Oryctolagus cuniculus: one gene and its partners. The protein of the gene in region 3 interacts with the protein of the main gene of each other region in a pairwise test. Links are inferred from orthologs where the notes say so. Each region holds a gene or a part of one and is shown on either strand. Other genes may lie near its edges. The genes, in order: TRIM63, ASB9 and CKM.

Evidence for each region.
Region 1: the proteins of CKM (region 3) and TRIM63 interact in a two-hybrid assay, tested with the Homo sapiens proteins (2 studies listed by BioGRID). The link is inferred for Oryctolagus cuniculus from reciprocal best matches to the Homo sapiens genes CKM and TRIM63.
Region 2: the proteins of CKM (region 3) and ASB9 interact in binary tests that used the Homo sapiens proteins (3 or more experiments, as listed by UniProt). The two-hybrid records come from large-scale screens. The link is inferred for Oryctolagus cuniculus from reciprocal best matches to the Homo sapiens genes CKM and ASB9.

What each region holds. Positions count from the first base shown.
Region 1 is NC_091438.1:145,359,802-145,365,288, reverse strand, and holds the start of TRIM63 (E3 ubiquitin-protein ligase TRIM63), read right to left. Parts: upstream 3,888-5,487; 5' UTR 3,739-3,887; coding exon 3,580-3,738; intron 2,855-3,579; coding exon 2,682-2,854; intron 1,041-2,681; exon of another isoform or gene 1-1,040. UniProt on the Homo sapiens protein: E3 ubiquitin ligase. Mediates the ubiquitination and subsequent proteasomal degradation of CKM, GMEB1 and HIBADH.
Region 2 is NC_091453.1:1,414,571-1,420,061, reverse strand, and holds the start of ASB9 (ankyrin repeat and SOCS box protein 9), read left to right. Parts: upstream 1-1,869; 5' UTR 1,870-2,204; coding exon 2,205-2,298; intron 2,299-5,491. UniProt on the Homo sapiens protein: Substrate-recognition component of a cullin-5-RING E3 ubiquitin-protein ligase complex (ECS complex, also named CRL5 complex), which mediates the ubiquitination and subsequent proteasomal degradation of target proteins.
Region 3 is NC_091449.1:11,498,016-11,503,755, forward strand, and holds the start of CKM (creatine kinase M-type), read left to right. Parts: upstream 1-2,027; 5' UTR 2,028-2,059; intron 2,060-3,475; 5' UTR 3,476-3,493; coding exon 3,494-3,686; intron 3,687-4,179; coding exon 4,180-4,334; intron 4,335-5,059; coding exon 5,060-5,192; intron 5,193-5,740. UniProt on the Homo sapiens protein: Reversibly catalyzes the transfer of phosphate between ATP and various phosphogens (e.g. creatine phosphate).

The DNA of each region.
Region 1 (5,487 bases), on a different chromosome or scaffold from region 3:
TTCATCCTCTGGGGACTCAAGCCCAGGGAAGCCAGTGACATCACACATGTCCCCACATCCTGGGACCCAAACTCTAGTGCTGGAGTCAGCCCCCGGCTCTGTCAGGGCAGCGGACGTTGGGGAGGATCAGCAGATGAAGAGGTTTGAAGCAGGAGGAAGCTGGGTCCCAGAGAAGTGAACTGACTTGCCCAAGGTCACCAGGCACATAAGGGCAGGGCAGGGCAGGGCAGGCCAGAGCCCGCTCGCTCTAATTATAGTCCCCATGGCTCCTGGTGGCTCCTGCTCACTGAGAGCTGGGGTGTTTATCCTAATGGCCTCACTGAATTCTGTATTTAATCCAGCAGGCTGTAACCTCCATCGGGAAACTCACCTGTTTCCTCCCTCCCAGAGTCGACAGTGTACAGTGCCTGGTGCCCAGGAGGTAGTGATTAAATACAAGTCAAAGGGCTTCACCAGTAAGCACACCATGAGGGTGTCCCCAGGTCAGGCCCTGGCCTCCAACAGCCCCATCCTTCCTAACCTGGGTTCTATTTTTTTTTTTTTTTTAAGATGTAGTTGTTTGAGGGGCAGAGCAACTGAAAGAGAGAGAGAGAGAGAGGTCTTCCATCTGCTGGTTCACTCCCCAAATGGTATGCAACAGCTAGGTCTGGACCAGGCCTAAGCCAAGAGCCAGGAGCTTCTGGGTCTCCCATGTGGGTGCAGGGGCCCAAGTACGTGGGCCATCTTCCGCTGTCTTCCCAGGCTCATGAGCTGGGAGCTGGATTGGAAACAAAGCAGCCAGGATTCGGACAGAGCTGTGATATGGTATGCTGGCACTGTAAGCGGTGGCCCAAGCCTCTGAGCCACAGTGATGGCATGTACGTTTGATTTTTTTTTTTTTTTTTGAGTCCAGATCTTACCTCCTCAACTGGCCTACATACTCATTTAGAGCCAGCGCCGTATCCACGCCACTTCTGATTCCCAAGTGTCGGATGGAGACAACTCCCTCTCAGTGTCAAGGGCTCACCTCCAACAGCCTGCACGACTGCCCACAGCCCAGCTTTCTGTCCTCCCCCCGCAGTTCTTAAAGAAGCCCCTGGCCAGACTTGTCTTCTTGCATCTTGCCGCCCAGGGCCTGCATGCTGGTAGGGGTCTCCCGGCCCTGGGAGAGGAGCCCTGGGGCCAGCAGTGGTGCACAGAGACAAGCTGTGACCCCTGACCCTTGGGTGCCCATCCTTCCCTCTGGCTTCCGTCCAGACCGTTGGAGCAAGTTGCTTGGCTCCTCTGGGTTTGGTTTCCTCCGACAGGAGGAAGAATTGCCGAAGCTCTCTGCGGGAACAGGAAGTGCCCAGCACAGAGCAGAGCCCCAGGAAAGCGCAGCGGCTGTGACGCTCCTCCCCTTGGAGAGGCCTCAGGGGCTCCGACACAGCGCGCTCAGCGGAGGTGCTCCCCGAGGGGGCTGGTATTCCCATGCAATACAGATTGGACTACTTTTATAGCGACCCACAGCCCGTGTGCATCCTGTAGCCACAATCTAGACCAGCGGTGAGGAATATGCACCAGGCACAGGCACTGAGCCCGGCATTCGGGACACCTGCTCCCCCTAGCTGAGTTCTCAGGTGGATCCTCGGCTCCAGCTCCTGACGCGGGCTCCTACGATGCAGACCCGGGAAGCTGTGCTGATGACTCAAGTAATTGGGCTCCTGCCACCCACGTAGGAGACCCAGATTAAGTTCTGGGCTCCCAGATTCAGCTCCAACTCAGCCCCCGCTGGGCATTTCACGCATGAACCAGCAGATGGGAATGTGTTCTCTCTCTCTCTCTCAAATAAATACATTATTTTTAAAACGAAAAAAGCACATTCACCATGGAGTCAGTCACACCTTCTCTCTTCTAGCTGTGTGGCCTTGGGAAAATCTCCGACCCTCTCTGAGCCTCCGTTTCCTTATAGGAAAATGGAGCTGCGAATGCCTCACAGAGTGACTGAGACAGGAAGTACTCCGGACAGTGCCTGAGCACAGCGTGTGCTCAGGGAGCACTTGACTGTGTCACATTGCCCATCGGTGTCCTAGCCCACAGTCACAGCCACGCTTCGGCCACTTAATGCATTAACAACGGGGCAGAGCGGCCATCACAGGCCCCAGGCCAGGGCTCTTCCTCCGCGGGCATGGTTGGCAGCACCTCTGGGCAGGCCACTGCCTGCTGCCACGTGCTTGGTGGAGGTTTTAGACCAAAAAGGCTGTGAGGTCAGCAGCTGGGAGTGGTGTCAGGATGTCCTCATTTGTACCGCTCTCCCGGCAGCGGCTGTGTCTCCAGCCGGCCCCACCACTCACAGATGCTGCCTCTCTTATTAACAGGGAGACTCAGCACCCGATGGGCCAGGCTCAGCCCCAGCTCGCCCCCTTCTCGGCTGGGAAGCCTTGAGTCACTGACTTGGCTTCTTGGGGATTACAGAAGTCCCTCCCGGTCTACAGGGTGGCTGCGAGGCAGGCAGAGCCTCCCCAGGGCTGGCAAGGGAGACAATGTAGCCATCGCTGCAGCTCCTGGCTATGTTGTCACTGGGCACTCTCCCTGCCCAGCCGGCCACCTCACAGGTCCCAGGCCTGTCCCTCCCTCTCGCTTCCCATCTCCCCCGGCAGTGCAGCCCGAGGGGTCCCTAGTGGCGGGTTCTGGGGGCAGGGTCTCGGGGCCGGCGAGCTGACCTGGAGCACTCTTGCTTGTAGATGTCAATGATGTTCTCCACCAGCAGGTTCCTCTGCAGCCCGTACACGCCGTGCCGGTCCATGACCACCTCGTGGCGGCAGGACGGGCAGCGGAAACGGCCGCCGGACATGGACACCGTGCCGCTCCGGTTGGTCCAGTAAGGATTTGCGGCCTGCGGTGGCCAAGGTAGAGGTGAGGCCAGTGCTCCCTCCTCAGCCCCTTCCCTCTTGAGTCTCTCCCGCTCTTGAGGTGAGAACAGACCCCTGCCCGGAGAGCCCCCGAGCAGTCAGCAGGCCTGGCTTCCGTCTCTGCCTGACCCTGGGCAGTGACTTTCTCTCTCAAAACCTCAGTTTGCCCACTCAAGAAATGGGTGCTATAATTAGGGCAAAGGTGAAGCAGTGAAGTGGCATTGGAGACGGTGCTCCTGGGGACCGCTGGGTCCTGCCTGCCTGCCAGACCTCCCTAGAGCCCCTCCGGCTCCCACCTTGAAGAGGACAGCCTCGGTGGGGGGGCCCTCTAGGCCTCGTGCCTGCCCGTCCCCCTCCTCCCACAGCTCCGGGCCCCCTGCCACTGTGGCGCTGGCCGGGCCCCAGGGGTCTGGTTTCTCTCCCCTCTCTGCCTGCCTCCCCCTTATCACTTGAGGCATTTGACTCTCAGTCCTCAGCGGGCCCAGGGCAGGCGGGGGAGCTGTGGACAGGCTGGGAGGGACACATGCGTCATGGAGAGGCAGCGGGGCCGCCAGAGCCACCGCCCCAGCCCCAGCCCAGGCCAGAGGCCTCCACAGGGGATCACTCGGAAGCGGAAAGAATCAGCTCGCATTGCAGGGCCTTCGGCTAAGAGCAAAGGGCCGCCGAGTTGCCGCCCAGGGACCCAGGAGCGGCCATGGCCAGCACCGACCTGGAAGATGTCGTTGGCACACTTGCGGCAGAGGTTGTGCTGACACGGCAGGATGACCACCGGCTTGGTGAACATCTCCAGGCAGATGGGACAGATCAGCTGCTTCTCCAGGTTCTCCATGGGGCTGCCATCCTGGATCAGGCCCGACTTGTAATCCATAACGTTGGGGTGGCTGCCTCCTCCACCTGCTGGCTCCGGAGACCTGTGCCTTTGTCACAAACACCCGCTCGGAATCTCTCGGCCTTCTTCTCCCCGCGTCTGAATTCTGTCCGGGACTGGGGCCCCTCTGGTATTTATAGCTGGGTCTCGGTCACATGAGCCCGGGAGGGGACCAGCTGAGCATTCCGATGCCAAGTGCGCGGTGGGGCTTGAGTTTCTTCCAAGCCTGGGAGACGCGGCCCTCTCAGATCACACGCAAGCCTGAGCAATCGCTGTTCCCCGGGCATAGGGGGTCGAAAACAAGAACAACCTGTTCGGAGGCAGCCTGGCGGGGGCATGGGTACCCAGAGTTCCCTCCAGAAACTGGGTCCCCCTAGCTAGGCTGCTGGGCCAGGGATGGGATCCAGGGAGGGGACCTCGGGGATTCAGGGGTTCATAGTCACTGTCCCCCTCATTAACGTAAATCAGTGCCTGCCACTCCCCTGGAGTCCTGGGCAGCTCTCAAGATAAGGGACAGGGCCGCCCCTCTCTGAGCCTCGCACCTGAGCCCAGCGTCTCATGTAGACAGGGGAGGCCCCACCCGGGGTGTCTGTCTCCCTCTCTTGGCCACTTATTCCCCTTAACGCTGAAAGGGCTCCCTTGAGTCCAGTCCCCTCATTCTATAGAGTTTGAAATGAGTCCCAGCAAAGAGAAGACTTTACACTTCCTAGCAGCAAAGCCAGGAACCTTATCCACACACCAGACATTCTTCAGTGCAGCAGGGACCAAGGTGACAGGCAGAGGAGCGGTCTCCTGCCCTGGGATGTGCACAGCCCAGGAAGGAGCAGAGGGGAGCAGCTCTTATGGAAACCCCGCCTGGACGCTCAGCACTGGCCGGAAGGCTCCCCTGGGTCTCGGCACACATTTTCAATTTTACTCCACTTTAAAAAAGCTTTACTTATTATTTTTAAAGATTTATTTCTTTTATTTGAAAGACAGAGTTACAGAGAGGCAGAGTCATAGAGAGAGGTCTTCCATCTGCTGGTTCACTCCCCAGTTGGCTGCAACAGCCGGAGCTGTGCCAATCTGAAGCCAGGAGCCAGGAGCTTCCTTCCGGTCTCCCACGTGGGTGCAGGGTCCCAAGGACTTGGGCCATCTTCTACTGCTTTCCCAGGTCATAGCAGTGAGCTGGATAGGAAGTGGAGCAGCCCGGTGCCATGGCTCACTTGGTTAATCCTCCGCCTGTGGCGCCGGCATCCCACATGGGCGCCGGGTTCTAGTCCTGGTTGCTCCTCTTCCAGTCCAGCTCTCTGCTGTGGCCCGGGAAGGCAGTGGAGGATGGCCCAAGTGCTTGGGCACCTGCACCCGCGTGGGAAACCAGGAAGAAGCACCTGGCTCCTGGCTTTGGATTGGGGCAGCTCTGGCTGTGGCAGCCATTTTGGGGGTGAACCAACGGAAGGAAGACCTTTCTCTCTGTCTCGCTCTCTCACTGTCTATCTGTCAAGTAAAAAAAAAGGAAGTGGAGCAGCCAGGACTTGAACCGGCACCCATATGGGATGCCGGCACTGCACTGCAGGTGGCGGCTTTACCTGCTACACCACAGCTCCAGCCCCAATATTTACTTATTTATTTGAAAGGCAGAGTTGGAGAGAGAGAGAAAGAGAGAAAGAGAGCGAGCGGATCTTCCATCTGCTGGATCATTCCCAAAATGCGTGCAACATTCAAAGCTGGACCAGACCAAAGCCAGGAGCTGGGAGTTTCATCCACATC
Region 2 (5,491 bases), on a different chromosome or scaffold from region 3:
CACAAGGGCTGATTAGACATTGGTATAATTGCTCTCTCTCTCTCACGGGTCTTGCTAAGCCACCCCATTTCTCCATAATCACAGTCCACATGGTCCAGTTTTATCCTCCTAGTCACTAGTGTATAGATTCCCTCCCAGGTAAGAGGGTAACCACCTGGACATCATTATTGTAATACTGGCAGTCACATTTGAATGTGGAAAGAAAAAAAATCTCAGCTTGAAATTTAATTAAAAGAAAATAAAGAAGCTATACTACGGAGATTTTCCTGGGATAAAACGGTAATAGTTTCCAGCTTCCCCAGTGTGCTCCTCTGTTGAACTCCTTCTTACCTAGTCTATGTTGGAAGCAAATTTCTCAGTGTCTGCCAAACACAGGTTTATCGTTCTTCAACTCTTTCCTTTTGGAGTGGTGAGAAAACTGCACGGCCTTCTGCATTAATTCTGCAAAGATGGAGGGCAATTTGGCAGTGTTTATCCCAGTTTCAAATGAGCCACCTCTTTTTTTTTTTTTAACACCGAAGTTTGTGTTCAGAGAATGAATGATAGACTCACCTGCAGTTGTCAGAAAGAATACAGAGAAATCGCCCATATTGTTTGCTGGTTTTCCCCAGTGGTACCTTTTTGCAGAAGTATAGCACAATATCATAACTGGGACACCGACATTCATACAATCTACCGGTCTTAGGCACTCATTGGTTTGTGTGTCTACAGTTCTCTATGCTATATCACGTGTGTATGAGTATACTCTTGACTCAGCATTTCCACTCCTAGGAATCTCCCAAAAATTGCATATGTGCACAAAGCCATATGTACAAAAACATGGTCTTCAGTACTTTTGTAAGTACTAAAAGAAATGGTAACACAGTGCTTCCATTATTAGTGGAATAATCAAATACTTTGGCATATTATGGAATGCTAGGCAGCACTAACTAAAGAAACAGCAAAGCTATATGCACTGAAATGGAAAGCTCTCCCAGAGCAAATCAGTGTAAAAAGCATAGAACCAAAGGTTACTGTAATTACATTTCATGGAAAATAGAGGGGGATAAGTGTGCATACGCATGTGCACACAAATGAATTTAAAATAAGAAAGCCTCTTCCAATCCTTAACGGTGGTTACCAAATGTTCCAACTGAGAACCCGTGAATTGAAAACCTTTGGCATTAAAATAACTCTGTGACCACTGCACAGCCAGACTGCGTTTGAGACTAACTCAGAGCCTTACCCCGCTGGCGTGAAACTCCTCCTCTGTCTGAAGAAGAGGAGCAATGGGAGTGGAGGGGGCCGTCCGCACGAAGCAGCACCCAGGGGTATGGGGAAACTGGGTTTATCTGAAAAGACAGATACAGAAAAAAAAATACTTTGTACCAGCAAGCTGATGACTACTTAACAACAACAACACAAAACAGTTTGAAAAAATAACAATAGAAAGAGAGGAGGTTTTTTCCACATCTCCTGCCACCCAGCAGCCCATGAATGCAATTGCAAGGCTTCATTATTTACTCAGAAGTTAATACCAAATATGTGGAGGAAGGGTGCAGGAGGACATCCAGTGAACTCCCTGCAGGTAACAGGAAGAAGACGAACGCCCGGTTCTGTAACATATAGACACATTTTCCCATAAGAAACTCCCAGCAAAATTGAAACCACATGTGCAGATGGCCAGGGTGTGCAGTGTGTGTTACTGTGCAAGCAGTCCAGCAGGGCTGCTGCAAAACCAGCTTTCTCAGCTCTTGGTGCTGGGCTTGTCTCAACAACAAGAAACCCCCACGTAACAAACGGATCCCGGGAGGGGGGTCAAGGTTGCAGCCTGAGAGCTGTTTCCTTCACACCCACCCAGCTCCCCTCGCTTTCCCCAAGTTACAAAGTGAGTTTCCTTCCTGATAAACTCCAAGGCTTTCTCAACGATTGGTCTCAGTATTGGAAAGGACGTGACATCAGCAAATTTGCAGACTTGGGGCTGGGGGGCTGCTGTGGGCTCTGGCTGGCGGCCAGCCGGCGAGGTGGAGTGTGTGCGTGCGTGGGCGTGCGTGCCTGTCTGCCTGACCACAGGTAGCGCTCCGAGTGCCATGCCGGAGAGCCTGAGCAGAACGTGTGCTGTTCGGCCAGCCACAGAACTGGGAGTTCCCGGGAACAGGGGGAACATGGAATTTGGACTTTACTGAGCAACTGGAGCGTGGACCTTGCTGGCCCGGGAAAGCACCATGGATGGCGAACAAGGGGGCAGGATCGGCAGCAAGCCCCCGGGGCTCGAAGGCTCTTCTGACACTAGGCTGCTTGCAAACCCATTGATGGGGGGTGAGTTGCTGGGGCCGGGAACCGGAGTGTGGGAGGTTGGCTGCTGTGCTTAGGAGAGAGGAAAGGAAAGGGCCGGGCGGTTTCAGTCGCTCTGTCCGAGGTGGGTCTGTGGGGAAGTGACTGGACAGACGGCTCTGGCCAGCTGCTACTGTCCCTTACACTGGTGTTCAAACGTGTACACCTCTCTACCTCTCTGTGCAGAGACACCTCTCTACCTCTCTGTGCAGAGCCCGTGGAGGACACGGATTTCGTTGTCACAGGTTTTTCTCCAGTAAACACTTCAGCTCCAGGGAATCATTCCTTCTGAGTCAAATGCAATTAGTTGCAGGTTTAAATTTACTTATAAATAGGAAAATTTTAAAGCCAAAACCTTCTTTGTGTGAAAAAGTCTTTCTTATTTGGTATTTAGGTGGGACTAGATTTATAAATGATGTTCAAATGCTGATTGAATCATTTTAAAAGGCTTTTTTTTTAAAGCCTTTGGAGAGATGTCTTAGAGGTATGATTCCCACCTGCTGTCGTTGTTAATGGATGGAGGCCCACACATAAAGACACTGTCACACTCATATGAGCATCCAGCAGGTGCCTGTTGGCTGGCTGGATTCCAAGAAATGGGTCTAGGCATTGAACAAGGCATGCTTATATTAAACACCTTGGTAGACAGCCCATAACATTTGTTGATCAGAGGGATAATAAAAAAGTTAGACCTTATTAATCTCCTACTGTACAGGTACTCAAAGGGAAAAAACCTGGAAGAAATAAAATAAGAAATGCCTTCCCTTTGACTGAGCCAACAAACTGGCTCATTTGTTCATTATTGAGCACAAATTTGGAAAGAAGAGCAGCATCAAAACTCATTTTTAAAAAAGAATTTGGTTAATATATTTTAAAAGCAGCAAACCAATTATTATGGAAAGAGTCAGTAATTTGGTTGATTCCTGCATGATTATTTTACTGTTAAGTATTTTACTTATTTTTTTTCCACATAAGAGGCACTAGCCACTTTTCACTGGGGTTTCTAAAGGTCCCGAGCCAACCCTGATTGGACGGGCTGGGTGGGTGATGTTGGATGGGTGTTACCCTCAAAAGGACGGCGTTTAGAAAGTGAGCACGTTGTTTGAGCTACCATGTAGAGTCTTAGGGAGTGCGGACAAGTCTGGAGGCATGCAGCTGGCTAGTGAAGCTTTAAAGGGCTTCAGGAGGCAGGGAATTGGGAGCTGTGCATTCTGGTGTGGACTTCGCAATAATGAGAGCTGTAAGTAAATCTGGTAGCCATGGGATACATTGTAATGGGGTTTTAGGAGAACCCACTGGTTCTCAAACTCCCCTGTGCCAAAGCATCACCTGGAAGGTTTGGTAAAATGCAGGCAATACAGCATCTGATGATGGATAAAGAAGGGGCGAGGCCTGAACTGTGCAGCCACAGCAAGCTCCCAGGGGCTGTTCGTGGCACTGGTTGGGGCCCACGTGTAAAGAACCACTGCACTAGTTGCAGTATGGAGCTTCCATTTGGATTAAACTTTGGAAATAACAGAGAAAGAGTGAGAATCTCTTGGGAAAGAGAAATGAGACTCTTGCTGCTTCATTAAATATTAGGGTTAAAGGAGGGAAGGCAGCCGAAATGGTAACGTTTGCAAGTCTAAATTAGCGTCAGCTAAGAGAGCTCCATAAGCAGATCGGGGAGACGTGTGTGAACGGGGAGTTTTGTTTCACACCTAGACGTGCCCGGGGTGGCTGCTCACCAGCCTGGTGCTGTGCTGAGGCTTGGGAGCGAGCACAGGTTGCAAGTTGCGAAACTCGGGCAAGAGAAACTGTCTGATGGCCAGGAGCCGAGAGCTAAGGACAGAGCTCCGGAACAGGCCTCCAGTCAAGGAAACAGGATCAGGAGTCGGACAGGGAAGCTGGAAGAAACTCCAGATGTTGTAATTCCACAGCGACTAAGGGAAGAGAAGCTTTGGAAGAAGTGCAAATCCCAAGGATAGAGGCCCAGGCACGTCTGCTGTCTCACCTTCTCACCGACTGGCAACTCCTAGTCATCTTCCACACCTAGTGCAGCCACTGCCCCCTCGAAGCTCTCCCGGACTTTTCTCCTCCCCATGCAAGTGGAGTCATTCGCTTCCTGCTTCGCAGGAGTCCTGCCTCTTGGGCAAAACCTCATTTATAGTTGGTTGTAATTGTTTAGACACCTGAAGTCTTGACCTTCATGAAGGATGGAATGTGGAGCACTCAGAATTCAGTTTCCAAGCGGCTGGGCGAGAAAGCCGGCTCAAGTGAAGCATGTCCCCTGGCACGAGGCCAGCTGCGAGGGCACACGGGGCCCAGGGGTGGTTCGTCGTAGGCAGCTTTGCCCTTCCCACCTCCACCTGCAGGGTGTCCTCCTCTGGAGAGTGGGAGGAAAGGTTATGAAGATGGGCAACTGGCTCTTTGTAGAGACTTAATACTTGACCCTCCTGTCCCAGGTGCAGGGAAAATATGTCTTTTTTCCTGCTAAAGGTACTGTATTAATGAGTTGAATTGTATCCTCCCTGTAGTTCTGAATGTGACCTTTATTTAGACAACAGAGTTCTTGCCCATGTGATTAGTTAAAACGAGGTTGTAACTGCAGGGAGATGGGTCCTTAATCTCACATGACTGGTGTCCTTCTGAGACAAGGAGAGGAGACCCACAGGGGAATGCTATGTGATGACAGATGCAGATATTGGTGTGAAGCTTCTACAAGCCAAGGAGCACCAAGAATCAATGGCCATTGCCAGAAGCTCCAATGGATGAAGAAGGTCATCCCTAGAGCCTTTGGGAGAGCCTGGTGCTCTGGCACTTTGCTTGCAGACTTCCATCAGCCCTCTGGCCTCTAGAACTGCGAGACGATAGCTTTCTGTTGTTGGAAGCCACCCAGTTTATGGCAACCCTAGGAAAGAAATTCATACCTACTCTTAGAATCTTTGGAAAATGCATTGAAGTTATCCTTTAAACTAGGCGCCCATAATTCCACGAGTAGGAAGCCACTGTTCCCATGTTTAGTGCCTATCGCTTGGATTTTACCTGCAGATTTGCACCTGCAGAGAGATTTCTTTCCTGAGAAAATTGAGCCCACTCCCCTGAGAGTGTTCACGTTTAAACAGAAGGCAGGCAAGAACAGGCATTGCAAAGAAACAATTTCATTCTTCTGTGGTGGAATTTTTGATATTGGGCACCT
Region 3 (5,740 bases):
CTCTTGGCCAACTCCACGTCCACTGTAAGACTGCTTCATTCAGGGGCCGGCGCTGTGGCGTAGCCGGCAAAGCTGCCGCCTGCAACCCTAGCATCTCACTGGGGTGCTGGTTCGAGACCCCGCTGCTCCACTTCCGATCCAGCTCTCTGCTATGGCCTGGGCAAGCAGTGGAAGATGGGCCAGGTCCTTGGGCTCCTGCACCCACGTGGGAGACCTCTAAGAAACTCCTGGCTCCCGGCTTGAGCCTGGCCCAGTCTTAGCCTTTGTAGCCATTTGGGGAGTGAGCCAGCGAGTGGAAGCGCTCTCTCTGTAACTCCGCCCACTGCTTCGTTCTGGGGTGACTCCGGCTTCCTGGGGCAACAGCACCTCCTTTCTTCCCTCTCAACAACAGCTCCCCGCGAGGTCCAGAGAGGCCAGCTGCAGACAACAGCTCATCTCAGTGGTCACAAGGCAGAGACATCGCAACAGCAGTGAGAAGAGGCCGACCGAACAGAACCGGCCGAAGAACAACCCGGCAACAACCCAGCGCGCCTCCAGGGCCTCCGCACGGGCGCTGCAAGGGATCCTGGGAAGGGGAGTTTCTGGCATCTTTGCCTTCTGCAAAGGAGTCGGGCTCAAGGGCAGGAAACTTCCCGAACACAGAAAGGGCTTCTGCCTCTGTGCGGCCAAGCGCCCCCCAAGGGGATAGAGGAGCCCAGGGCTTGGCTGTGCCGCCCGCTGCAGTGACCCAGCTGACCCACCTCTCCCTGGCGCACAGCCCTCAGTGGCTCCCACCCAAGGCACGGTGACACTGACACTCCTCTCGCAGTCCCCCGGGGCCCCGCGGGTCCACTCCTGTCCCCGTCTGCACCCCCAGCTCCTTCCTGACCTCTGCTTCTCCCCCATATCCAGCCACTCCCACCCCAGGGCCTTTGCACCTGCCGGTGCCCCCGCTCCCCCCAGCACTGGCTCCCATCTCTCCCCCAGGTCTCAGGGGCCTGCCTGCCTTTGCTCCCCCCTGTCCTGCCCCCTCCCATGCCCCACGGGCCTCAGTTTCTGGAACCAAGAAGCCTGCCCCCACGGGGAAGGGACGGGGAAAGGTTGTCCGGCCGAGGTGGAGAGCCCCACTTTTCCCTGAGCCAGCCCCCACCTGGCTGGAGAGGAATGGGGGAGATGGAGGAGAAAGGCACCGGGAGACAGGGATGTCCTCTGATCCTGGGCAATCCTGGGAGCTCCCTGAGGGAGGTGCCCCGCTCAGCCCACAGCCCTGGCACCCACCAGGCAGAGGAGGCAGCTCCCAGAGTCCCCGGCTGAGGGCCGGGGGTGCCCACGTCCTCGCGAGTCGGGCACCCAGTCCCCTTCCCTGGGGGCCTCGGGTGCCCTTGTAAGGAGGCAAGGCCCCAGGACACCCGAGCTGCCGGCTATAATTAGCCCGGACACGTGGGCCCCCCGCCAGCACCTGCCCTGAGCCCCCCTACCCGCAGCCTTGGGTGCTGGGACTGCCGACAGCAGAGACCGCTCTAAAAATAGCTCCCTTCCTGGACGGCCCCTCCCAGCAGGCCCCCCACCCCCCGCTGAGGGGCTCACTGCCCCCCCGGGGGGGTTGTCCTGGGCTCACTGCTGGGTGTCCCTGGCGCTGGTGCTCCCTAGGGTGTGCAGCCCACGGCAGGTGCAGAGGCAGGGGGCACCCGCGGGGGGCTGGTAACAGCAGCAGGCCTAGGGGCCAGGGGACGGCGAGCTGTACGTGCCGGGACACCCCCAGCCACTGTCCCGTGCTCCCGGCGGGGGGCCAGCTGTCCCCCGCCAGCCCGACTCAGCACTTGCTCTGCACATCGGCCTGGGGCGGCCCATACAAGGGCATGGGGCTGGGCACAAGGCACGCCCGCGTCCAGGTGGGCACTGTGCCCGGGCATAGGGGGGGGAGAGGCTGGGCTGCCCTCCAGGCCCCCTCCCTGGGGCCAGCCCCGCCCAGCCAGTGGCACAGCAGGGTCCCCTACATAAAGCCGGGGCCGCGGGCCCTGGATCTGCCTCAGTGTCGCCTGCAGGACACACGTAGCCCCGCTCAGCACAGCCCAGCCAGGTACCACCTGCGGGGCCTCAGTGGGGGGGGGGGGAGTGAGAGGCAGGGGCCTGGGTGGGGGGCGGCTGGCTGGCTGGGCCTTGTGCGCCTGGCTGTGCCTTCCCTGTGAGCCTGCCTGGCCGCCCGTGGGCCCTGTGACTGGGGGGCATGCTGAGGGTCACGGGGGAGCATCCCGGGGGTGAGAGCAGGGGTGGGGGCTTCAGCAGCTGTCAGCCTGCAGGGGCTGGGCCAGGCCTGTGCCCCTGAGTTTGTCACCGAGCCAGCACCGCAGGCCCTAGGAGGTGCCCTGGGCTCTTCGTGGCTGTGACCATGGGTCCCTGCTCTCCTGTGGCGGGGGGGGGGGGCGTCTCTACATTTGCAGGTGTGACTCCGTGCCCCAGCAGAGCTGGGGAGCTCAGGGATTGTGGGCGTGGCTTGCACCTGGGGGCGTGGTCTGCCTCAGTGCCCTCTCCTGGGGCAGCCCAGCAGGGATGACCGAACGTCCTCTGGGTGGGGGGTGGGGGCGGGGGTCTGGGCTGAGGCCCAGGCTGTCCTTGGGCCCTAGGCCGTCTGTGCAGCGTCCCAGCCCCTGGGCCCACCTGTCTCGGGCCTGCTGACTTGGCGCAAGCTGAGCCCAGGAGCGAGGGGGGAGGCGGGGCAGCCGCTGGGGGTGTTGGGGGGGAGCAGTCAGCCAGATTCTAAAAATAACCACCCTGGCCCACAGCCCTGAAGGTCTCCGGGGGCCCCCGTGCCCCCCCATCTCACTCCAGCCCCATTCCCCTCCCTCCATCCCACTGGGGGGCCCCTGCCTCGCCCAGTGTGGTGAATAAAAGTGTGGGTGATGGCAGCCGCCGCCGCTGCCAGGCCCGAGCTGGGCGCCCCAGGAGACGGAGGTCCAGAGAGGCCTGGGGCCCAGCCTGGGGCCGCACAGCAAGCTCATGGCTTTTCTTCCCACTGAGCCCTGCAAGTCGGGGGTCTGGCAGGAGCAGGGGTGGGGCCCGGGCGTCCCTCCCCTCCTCTCCACCTGGATGAGCACCAGACAATAGACGGGGGGTGCTGAGGGCTATACCCCTAGTGTCACTCCCTCCAAGTGAGTCCGGCTGTGATCCCATCTGCCAGATGAGTCAAAGGAGGCCCAGAGGGGTCCAGCCGCCGGCCCAAGGCCACACAGCCGGGTGTTAAGTGGCAAGTAGCTGAGCGGGGCTTGGAAGAGCACAGAGCCTGCACCTATTCCATGCCCTGCTATAGGTCCAGCTTTGGGGGAGGGGTTTCCCTCCCCCACCCCCCATTCTCCAGTTGGAGAAACCAAGTCTCCAGCGGGGAGACTGCTCCTGGCCGGCTCAGCAGCGGGGGCGTGGCCGAGTTGGGACCCTCCTGCACCTGGCTCCGAGCCACGCTGCCTGGAGCCTCGCTCAGCTCTCCCCACCGGCCCCGCAGCCCCCCGACGCCGCCACCATGCCGTTCGGCAACACCCACAACAAGTACAAGCTGAACTACAAGTCCGAGGAGGAGTACCCGGACTTGAGCAAACACAACAACCACATGGCCAAGGTGCTGACCCCCGACCTCTACAAGAAGCTGCGCGACAAGGAGACGCCCTCCGGCTTCACCCTGGACGATGTCATCCAGACAGGCGTGGACAACCCAGGTAACCGGCCGGGGGGGGCTCGCTCTTCTCACCTGCAGAATGGGAGCCGCCTCTGCGGAGCTGTTTGTCAAAACCGAGTAAGGGAATCCAGCTGGAGGGCTTGGGACAAACCACAGCCACGCGACGCCCGTGCGCAGTCGCCCCGAGAGGCCCCCTGGGGCGCCATCTGAACCTCCCTCAGTTTCCCCTGCGCCCAGGGCTTCCCGCAGCGCCTGGCACCAAGCGCACCCTCGGATGCGGTGGGGACGCAGCTCCCTCTCGGAGGACTCCCCTGGAGGGCGGGCGGAAGTGGGCTCTCTCTGGGCAGGAAAGCGGTCTTCCTCATGACCTTGACCGCTGGGAGCCCACAGCTGAGTCTGAACACACAGAGGCTAAGATCCCATGACTCAGGGGCTGCCAGGCGCCGGCCCCCACCCCAGTCCTGCCCCCTCGCCCCGTCTGCGCATGCGCGACTCGCTGAGCTCCGGCCCTTGCCCCGCCCCCCGGCCCCCAGGGCACCCTTTCATCATGACCGTGGGCTGCGTGGCCGGTGACGAGGAGTCCTACACGGTGTTCAAGGACCTGTTCGACCCCATCATCCAGGACCGCCACGGGGGCTTCAAACCCACCGACAAGCACAAGACCGACCTCAACCACGAGAACCTCAAAGTTGGTGACCCCGGGGGAGGGGAGGTGGGGAGGGGCAGAGGAGGGAGAGAGAGAAGGGCCCATCTGGGGCGATGGACACCGGGGAGGGGCGGATAAGACAGAGGTGCGAGGGTGTGCGGAGTGGGGCTGGGGGAAGACGCAAGGCCCGGTATAGAAAGGGGAGGGGCGGCACTGCTGCAGAGCAGCTGACTCTGCCACCTGTGAGGCCCACGTCCCGCCCCAGAGTGCCTGGTTCGAGTCCCGGCTGCTCCACTTCTGGTCCAGTTCCCTGCTAATGCATCTGGAAACGCAGCAGCTGATGGCACGAGTCCTCGGACCCAAGCCACCCACAGGGGAGACCCGGATGGAGCTCCAGACTCCTGGCTTTGGCCTGGCCCAGCCCTGGCTGTTGCAGACAATTAGAGGAGTGAGCCAGCAGATGGAAGATCTCTCTCTTCCTCTCTCTCTCTCTGTCTCTCTCTCTGTCTCTCTGCCTTTCAAGTTGATGAAAATAAATATGTAAACATTTAAAAAGGAAAAGAGAAAGAGAGAGAGAGAGAGAGATGGAAGGAGGGGGGAGAGATGGGGAGGGGAGATGGACAGAAACAAAATGGGGAGACAAAGAGGGAGAAAGAGGCAGGAGCGGAAGCAGGGGCGGTCGAGGAAGTGGGGGAGGCCTGGGCTCTCTGGGGGGGGGGCGGAGGCCCTGCCCGGCCTGACCTCCGCCCTCCCCGCCCGCGGCCCAGGGTGGGGACGACTTGGACCCCCACTACGTGCTCAGCAGCCGCGTGCGCACCGGCCGCAGCATCAAGGGCTACACGCTGCCCCCGCACTGCTCCCGTGGCGAGCGCCGGGCCGTGGAGAAGCTCTCCGTGGAAGGTGAGAGCCTCCCCGGCCGTGGGGCCCAGCCCTCCAAACACGGGGGCCCTGGTACCAGCTTGCTGAGTGACAGCTGTCAGTACCGCCCATGTCCGAGGTCTGCGGGCCCAACACCGACCCCCATCCATGCACCCACCCAGCCCTCATTCCCAGTCGTTCTGGCCCAGTGTGGGGCCTCAGGGCTCCCGGGATGAGCAGGGCTCTCCTGGAGCTCTGTCTGGTGCGAGACGTGAGGGCGCACACCAACCTCCCCACGAGCAGGAGCGCCCCAAAGTGCCGAGAAGCATGACCTTGGGGGTGTGGCAGAGGGTGACCCCAGACAGGCAGTGTGGAGACTTTGCTGACTGACGGGAAATTATCTTGGGGTGCCTCCCAGGCAGGGAGAGCAGCAAGTGCAAAGGCCCTGAGACTGGAGGGCGAGCAGGGAGGCCAGCGTGGCAGCGGCGGCGTGGGTGTGGGCGTGGGCTGAGGACAGAGCTGCGGGCGGCCAGGCTGTGCAGTCCTGTGGGCTTGGGGAAGAGGGACACGGCTCCCTCTCTGCAGAGTGT